Linked DNA regions of Drosophila melanogaster. The protein of the gene in region 1 interacts with the protein of each later gene in a pairwise test. Each region holds a gene or a part of one and is shown in the gene's direction. Other genes may lie near its edges.

The links.
Region 2: the proteins of Indy (region 1) and CG10559 interact in a two-hybrid assay, tested with the Drosophila melanogaster proteins (one large-scale study listed by BioGRID).

The regions. Positions count from the first base shown.
Region 1 is NT_037436.4:18,843,222-18,847,830, reverse strand, and holds the start of Indy (I'm not dead yet), read left to right. Parts: upstream 1-1,563; 5' UTR 1,564-1,771; coding exon 1,772-1,795; intron 1,796-4,609. UniProt on the Drosophila melanogaster protein: Cation-independent electroneutral transporter (not associated with membrane depolarization) of a variety of tricarboxylic and dicarboxylic acid-cycle intermediates. There is also small, but detectable, transport of monocarboxylics.
Region 2 is NT_033777.3:25,313,994-25,317,684, reverse strand, and holds CG10559 (uncharacterized protein), read left to right. Parts: upstream 1-1,568; 5' UTR 1,569-1,580; coding exon 1,581-1,770; intron 1,771-1,826; coding exon 1,827-2,317; intron 2,318-2,384; coding exon 2,385-2,757; intron 2,758-2,822; coding exon 2,823-3,016; 3' UTR 3,017-3,191; downstream 3,192-3,691. Other genes in the region: CG10553 (uncharacterized protein), read left to right, coding at 1-392, 454-820, 880-1,064.

The DNA.
Region 1 (4,609 bases):
TGGCATCAGACTAGGAATGCGGAAAAAAATGAAAGATTTCGTTTTCCCCATTACAATTGATCCTGATTCTGCCAAGAATTAATCACAAATTAACAGTGATAGTTTAGGTAAAGATTTGAGTTTAGACACATGATTCATGCACTCAGAATGTATTTCTTCAGGTACCACGGCGTGCAAAAAAAATATCTAGCATAAACACGCTTTATGCCATCGAAAATTTCGATCGGAAGTGATCAGAGAAGTGAGAAAGTAAGAGCAAGAGAAAAGTAAGGCAACTTAATTTTTTTTCAATAAGACTGTATCTTCTTTAAAGTCAGTTTGTATTCTTTATATTTGAAAACATTAAAATTTTTCAACTTATGGATTTTTATTAGGAAGACCATCATAATTTATTCAAATCCTGAAGAGAGGAGTGAAAAAAGGAAAAGTAAGACAGACATTCAAAACTAGAGGAGCTCGAGTTCCTATAATATAAGACATTTAAAATTCGTTGGAAATATAGAAACATAGTGGCAATAAAGATAACAATATAAAATAAATCAAAACATTTCTAAATGTGTGGTGGCTATTTTTCGTTACTTAAAACTGCATTCTTTAACTTCCATACGGAGTAATGCTGGGGTCGTTTTGAATTATATCATATATTTTATAGCCAGACTCAGTATATCTCCTGGTCCTGGCAGATCACCGGAACCCACTTCTCATCAGTGAAAATGACAGGTAAGATCGACTTTTTAAGCTATTTTTGCACTTTGATATAAAAAGAAATTTAATTTCAGACAACCACAAAACGCTGAAGGAACATCAACATACACCCTTTGCCAGCTGAGTGTTCCGTTTTGAGTCTTTGGAAAAGGCTTTTCATACTCACATATTAAAATTCATCAACATGGGCATGAGTCGCTGACTTATGCTAAATAGAACAGTCTGTATCGACAACATAATCCTAAATTAATGAAATGCCAAGTTACACCGGTCTCGAAAAATGCATTAGCAATTTGCACGGTGAGTCAAAGAGACTATAGGAACTACAAAGCATATTCAAACAACATTTAATTAAATTTCAAGGCCAGAGTATGTATATATCGCGTTGTTCTACATTTGACAAACGTAAAATAAATTTCAATTACATGCGGAGTATACCAAAAATTGTTTGAAAAGGGTTTTTGACTGCCTGTTAAAATTACAAAGTATCAAAGTATTAACATGGCTTAAATAAAGAGCACTTTTAAAAATATTTATATAAAAATATTAAAGTAACCCTTCCGAATATTTTAATTTACCATAAAGGTCAACTAGGTAAAAAATACTTTAAGTGTACGAACGATATGTAGATATACCTGTGTAGAATATAGTAAATACGCCCCTACAAAGAAGCATGCACAGCAAAAACAAGTTTAAATGTGTCTCTTAGCGTATTAAAGTATTTGTATTTGCCCACAGAGACAACGACAACTTATCAGATATTTTCCATGTCCAGGGCTTAAAAGAGAGAGAGAGCGAGTGAGAGAGAGAGAGAGAGGAGAATGCGAAAGAAAATCGTTTGGGTTTGGTTTTGAGTTTTGGTAGCATTCGCATATTAGTCGTCGAACGCAAAGCAACATATTCATAAAAAGTGGTCTAGCCAACGAATATATATATATATATATGTTATTTTTCGGCGCGGTGGTGGAAATTATGAAATAATCGCTTACGGTTGTGCTGAAAGAGAAACGGCGTGATCAATTCTTCAGATATACCAATAGTATCTATACCATATAGATCCCCAACCATGGCGACCGAAACTACAAAAATGGTAAGTTTGATTTTGAGAAAGCGGTAATTACTTGTGATTAGGCAGGTGATTAGTGATAAGTGGTTTGCAGCTAGAAATTTGGGAACGTGGCGGCATTTCGTCTTTTCCGGTTAATTGCTTTTCGTTGACCTTGAGAACCTGCCTTAATGCCCGGCAAGCCCCTAGGACTTTTCGCGACGAACTGTTAAGATCCGACTGAAAACCTGGTTTCGAGTTTGAGTAGCGCGTGGCAATCGGGTTAGGTAAGAGAGTGTTATGTAAACAAAGTCCAAAACCAAGTGTTTTATCAATTTTAAAATGATTTTGAGATCACATGTGCTGCTATTGTGCTCCTTAGCCGAAGTGCTTCTGTTCCCGACTTTGGAGATATATTCCACTCCCTAGAAAATAAGTACTTATATAAAAACACTTCCAATCATTTTGCTCTCTTATTGAGCAGCTTGTTTGAGTGCTCAATCTATAAAGTGTCGTCATACTGTTTACACACCCACTTAACAACCCATGACCAGTTTTTTATTATTCTGCTGGTATGATATCTCCATTTCCCCATCTGTTATCTAACTGAAGCAGCGCACTTTTGTGCAAATCTTCGGAAGTGACACCGCTTTCTTCCCCCACATTCTCCCCATATGTATTATATGTATTATATGTATGCATTATCTCTCTCGTGTGTGGACAACCACCTGACCGAAAAACTGAATGACGACACCGAAAGATAACAATATGTACAAAATTATTCAGATTCAGCAAAATAATTAGCATGCCCCAGGTTTCTCAAGGCAATTAGTGGAAAGGCTTAAAAGCGCTTAACTTTTTTAAGAATCCGTCACAATTCGTCTTTTTATTGAAGAGCAGAGTTATAAACGTGTGATAACGTTGATTCTGGAATTTCCAGAAGCGCGAGGATTGCAAACAGACTTTATGGAACCTAGAAAGTGCAGAGAATATTTAGACAGAAGCTGCTTGAAATGATCAGGCGAGGAATTTCGTTGTAGATTTATAGATATTATAATTATTGTTATTCACTATTTATTGTTGGCACCTCTATCTGATTAATAGACCCAGCGTAAAATAGTAAAACCCTGTTTCAGTAATGAATGAAATGGAACTAGATAAAGCTGATAAATTCATTATGCGTTTTGTTTCACAAATGTCACCCCATTTTTCAAAACAGAGAGTCCAACGATCATTTGAGTACTATGCATTTGAAGTTCAAATTCCAAAAGCAGATGAATGTCTGCATTAGAATTCAAAGTACTTTACGTATATTTTTAGAATCGCCTAGCACTTTGGCTCTCGAACAAATGTTTACTCACATTTTGGCTTATAATCTCCATATTACCTTGAAGAAAATACATCTTTTTTTGTGGGCCCCGCCCCCACACGTGACATGGAATGACGCAAAAGGAAAAACAATTGCAGACGCAGATCTGAAATGTTTATTTCGATATATTCTTTCGTATAATACGCGCAAAATGTGTCTGAACTTAGCATGGGGATTTATTTTGCGGCATTACCTAATGGGACCAATGAATATGATTCTTATTTGATATTCCGACTATTCTATATTATTTATTTAATTGTGTTTCAAAGTGATTAAATGTGGGTCAAACTCAATCTCTGAGCCTTGGTTTTCGGTTTGTTTTGTTTGGCGAACAAAAAAACAAGTTGCAAAAATCTTGAGCTGAAATTTATTGACCGGTGCTAAACTGGTTTTGCTTTTCGAGCACAGGGGGTTTCCTAAGTGAGAGCCTCTAGAGAAGATCTGTTTAATGTTTCAACTTCAACTTGCACGCTTCTCGTTTGAGTGGCCAACAAATTGCTGATCGAAGTCGATTGGAAACGGCTTGAAATCCTGAATTCTTACGATGGTCTTAATAATAGCAGGTAGGGAATTTTCACAACAAAGCACTTGAATAACTTAGCCCTTTTGTAAGTTAATTGCCAGTAATTACAAATAACTAACAACTGTTTCAATAAAATGTAGTGCGAGTTGTTCAAGAACACTGCTTACCAATAATAAAGGGTATTTACCTTATTTGCAGTACATTTCTTACGATTTAAGTATGTATGTTGTTAGCACACATTTAGTGGGTCGGTTTCTTCTACATACATATGTACATATATTTTACTTAACTTCGTGTACACTAATTTATTCGTTGCATTTCATTGTCGCCTTCCGTTCGGTTCAATTAAATTACAGCTCAATGCAATAAAATGATCTCACTTGATCAACTTGCTGCGAAAAAAAAACTTTCCACATATGTTTCTACACACATAAGATACATTTATGATTCATATAGCATTTTCTTGCTTAAACAGCAAGATCAAAGAAAATAATGTGTTGTCAAGCACGGCGCCTCTGAAATAAATCTGATACAATTATCTCCTCTCTGGCGAAATTTAATATGAGTGAAATTTGTTCTGGCAAGTTTCTTAAAGTTGTCGTATTGATTCCCGAATGTTCGATGCACGTAGGTTCCCTAACCGAATCGTCCTCGTTCTCAATTGAATCGATCCAATCAACAATTTATGGCCATTTCCTATGCGACTTTGAAATTTGTTCGTATTGATTTTTACAAAGTGTGTTGGTCTGCAATTATTTCTATGTCATAGAAGCCTACAAATCCGCCGTGGTAAAACTGTTTTTTTCTCTAATTCTGTTATAATTGTATCTAAGCGAAATATTATATATTTTTTTTAGTCAGTGTTACTTTCGTAACAATCTATTTTCCTAGTACATTGCATGTTCAGTCCTTGACAACACCTATTTGAATTTGAAGTTGGAATTCTAAAAATAGAATTTATTTCACC
Region 2 (3,691 bases), on another chromosome or scaffold:
TGGAGCGAGGAATGTATGTGGAAGTAGTGCCCGAGCTGGAGCAACTGTATCGCGATGTGGGATTGGAGGTCAAATTTGGAGCTGAACTCTACGACATAGAGGCCAGCGACTACTACGTCCTGCTGGAGGATCTTCGGCCACGTGGATTCGGGAACATAGATCGCCTCGAAGGCATGGACCAGGCTCACACCGAATGTGTTCTCAAGAAATTTGCCCAATGGCATGCGGCCTCTGCCGTTCGCGTAGAAACAAAGGGTCCTTATCAGGAGAAGTACACAAAGGGTTTTTTAAGGAACGAGGAAATCGTAGATGCCTTTATTAATCGGAGCATAAAAGTTTTTCTGGATAACGTCCATCTGTGCAAGGGTTACGAAACTTATCTAAATGATCTGGTGGGTAATTTATCTTTTGATATTCGTATCTTCAAGTCTTCTATCTTATCATTAATTACAGCGCATTGTCTCCGGCAAGACATTCGAAATTGTGGAGAGCCTCAACAATCCGAGTCCTGATGAATTTATTGCGTTAAACCATGGCGATGGTTGGGCCAACAACATTATGTCCCAGTACAATACGAAAGGCGAGATACAGGATACCTACTTTGTCGATCTGCAAGTCCCTAAGTGGGGATCAGTGACCCAGGATCTATACTACTTTCTTTTGTCCTCTACAAGCTTGGACATAAAAACATCAAAGTTTGATTACTTCATATGGTTTTACCACTCCGAATTGGTAAAGCATCTGAAATTGCTTGGATATTCGAAAACTCTTCCCACTTTAAGAAGAATTAACGACGCTCTCAACAAATACAGTGGATGGTGTAAGTTTTCAATCGTTACTTAATCATTAGTTCAGATCTTATAAAAAAAAACATTTCAGCGTTCATCTGCACCGCAACTATATTGGCATATGTCCTCCTGGATCCCGTGGACGGAGCCGATTTTGATAAGGTTCTTGGTGATGACGACTGTAGCTTTAAGAACTCGCTATACATTAATCCCAGATTTCGCAAACATATGGAGGTTCTATTGCCATGGCTTCAGCATCGCGGAGCTATGGAATAGATACTTAGAATGCACAATATTAAATCGTATGGCGTATAACGAAAAAATTACACTCAAGGTTTATATATACAGTATAGTAGAAGTAGCATATTGTGTAATATCTAATAAAGACCTAACTAGTGTTTAACAAACATTGTGGTTAATAAAAAACTTGTTCCGGAGTTTACATATAGGTAAATATAACTATAAGTATAGTTATAAGCATTTTTTTTTATGGTCATACAATTATTTTTATTGTCTTTAAATACTTACACTTATATGACAGACAAGCTTCTATATGGGTATAAATGCATCCCCCCACGTTTGTTTTGGTCTATATGTATGTATCACTCGAGACTTTGAAAACAAGTTGTTTTGAGAACTCTCCATATCCAGCACTCTCTTTGTTTTCCGACAAGCTTTTGGAGCTTTCGTATTGGCATTTGTTTTGGTAGCAAACAAAGATACAGAGAAAAAAAGTTTTGCTCACATGTTTGTACGGGACCAGCCGGCAAATAAACTCTTAGTTTGCTTAGAATGACGGCTGAGACAGGAACAGCGCCTATGCCCACCTGGCTGAGAGCAAATCTATTCGAAGAATTGCTAAGTAAACGTTACGGCGGCAATTATGCCGGAATCAAAAGTTTCAAGCCGGAAGCCGGGCTCAAGCCGGGAGAAAACTACTCCACAATTATGCTGCGCCTCAAGCTTGAAGTCGAACTGCAGGGTGAGTGTGAGTCACAGGTGAACAATGGAAAGTCAAGCAGAAATTTCCATCATCAGATCACACAATCGAAAATGTGAGCTATATGCTGAAGACTCCCTATGATTTCGAGATGTATCGCGAGATTCTGAGGAAGAACAACATGTTTGCTGTGGAGAGGGATGTGTTCATTCAGGTGATTCCCGAGCTGGAACAGATGTACAAGGATGTGGGCGTGGAGGTCAAGTTTGGGGCCAAGGCTTATGAAATCGACGCGCCCGATGATTACGTACTTCTGCAGGATCTGGGTCCTTTGGGTTTCAGGAACGTCGATCGCCTGGAGGGCCTAGACATGGTTCACACCAAGTGTGTTCTAAAGAAGATGGCCCAGTGGCATGCGGTATCGGCCACCAGGATCCATCTCAAGGGTCCGTACCCCCAGAACTACTTGCAACCCACGTACGCCGATACCATGAAGGAGAGCATCGAACAGGTGGCTGAAACCTTGGGCAAGTATTTCCTCAAGTGCCTGCCACTCTACGAGGGTTACGAGGAGTACAGTGCGGCGGTTGTATGTTTCTTTAGCTATATGCACCAATTGGTTGCACGGTTCATCACAAAATAATCTATTTGTACAGCACAAGATGCAACCTAAAATCGTCGACCTTATGTATGCTATGAACACGCCCGATCCGCAGGACTTCAATGCTCTGAATCATGGAGATTGCTGGACCAGCAACATCATGTTTAAGTACGAGGACGAGTCGCCCGAACCGATCGAGACATATTTCGTGGATCTCCAACTGCCCAAGGTCACGAGCGTGGCATATGATCTGATCTATTTCCTCCTGGGCTCGACGAAATTCGAAATCCAATTGAGTCAGTTCGATTACTTCATCAAGTACTACCACGATCACCTGGTCGAGCACTTGAGAATGCTGAACTACCCCGAAGCAAAAACCCCCACGTTGGGGTTCCTCCATACTCAGCTATTGAAATATGGACGAGTTGGTAAGTGGAAACCTCGCTCTGCAAAGCTGTAGATAACCAAGTTCTGATTTCTTTTCCAATCGTAGGGTATCACATTGCTTTTATTCTCTGCCCACCAGTGCTGCTCGATCGGACTGAAGATGCAAATCTGACCGATTTCGTCACCGAGACGGATAATGGCGATGGTCTAAAGTTGGCTATGTACTCCAATGCCCGATATAAGAAGCACGTTAGCGCCATTCTCAAATGGTTGAACAATCGAGGGGCCTTCCAGTGCTAGTTCGCTATACATTATATATATATAAAGAATACTATTGCTAAAGTGATTCCTAACGTTCTCTGGGAAAGAAAATTTGTAATACCATGACATATAAAATGTACTGCTTTCAATAAAATACTAATGCACGAATTTTAAGAATAAAATATGCTTGTAACTGAGCAATGATTATTCAGTGAAGTATAGAAGTTTCTCATTAGACGGATGGTAAACATAATCTCATAAGCACACTTTTGTTTTTAAATGATGAGTATGTGAAAATATATTTAACTTCTAGCCGCTTTGTACTAGCCAGGCCTAATAATAAAACAAAACATAACTGCCCCATTAAAGCACAATCAAAGATAATCAAAATGCCGTTTGGTACCCATATAGACCAGCATTTTGTAGGATTAATAATATTCAAATAATTGTTTATTGAGTGCGTGGTGCTCGTGCGGAAACCGATGGTGAACTGTCTATCTACCCATCACATGTCACGCCCAAAAACACCAATTAATGAGGAATCACGAAATAATTAGAGCGAATGGCGAGCGCAAAGAGGAACTCGGGTGCCCGATCCCGATATGGAAGTCGAATCAGGAGCGGGAACAAGAAACTGTTTTCGTTATCAATCAAACAATTGACGGTGTTTGCGTCTCTATATCATATATCACACACCTCTCGCTCGGGCACGCT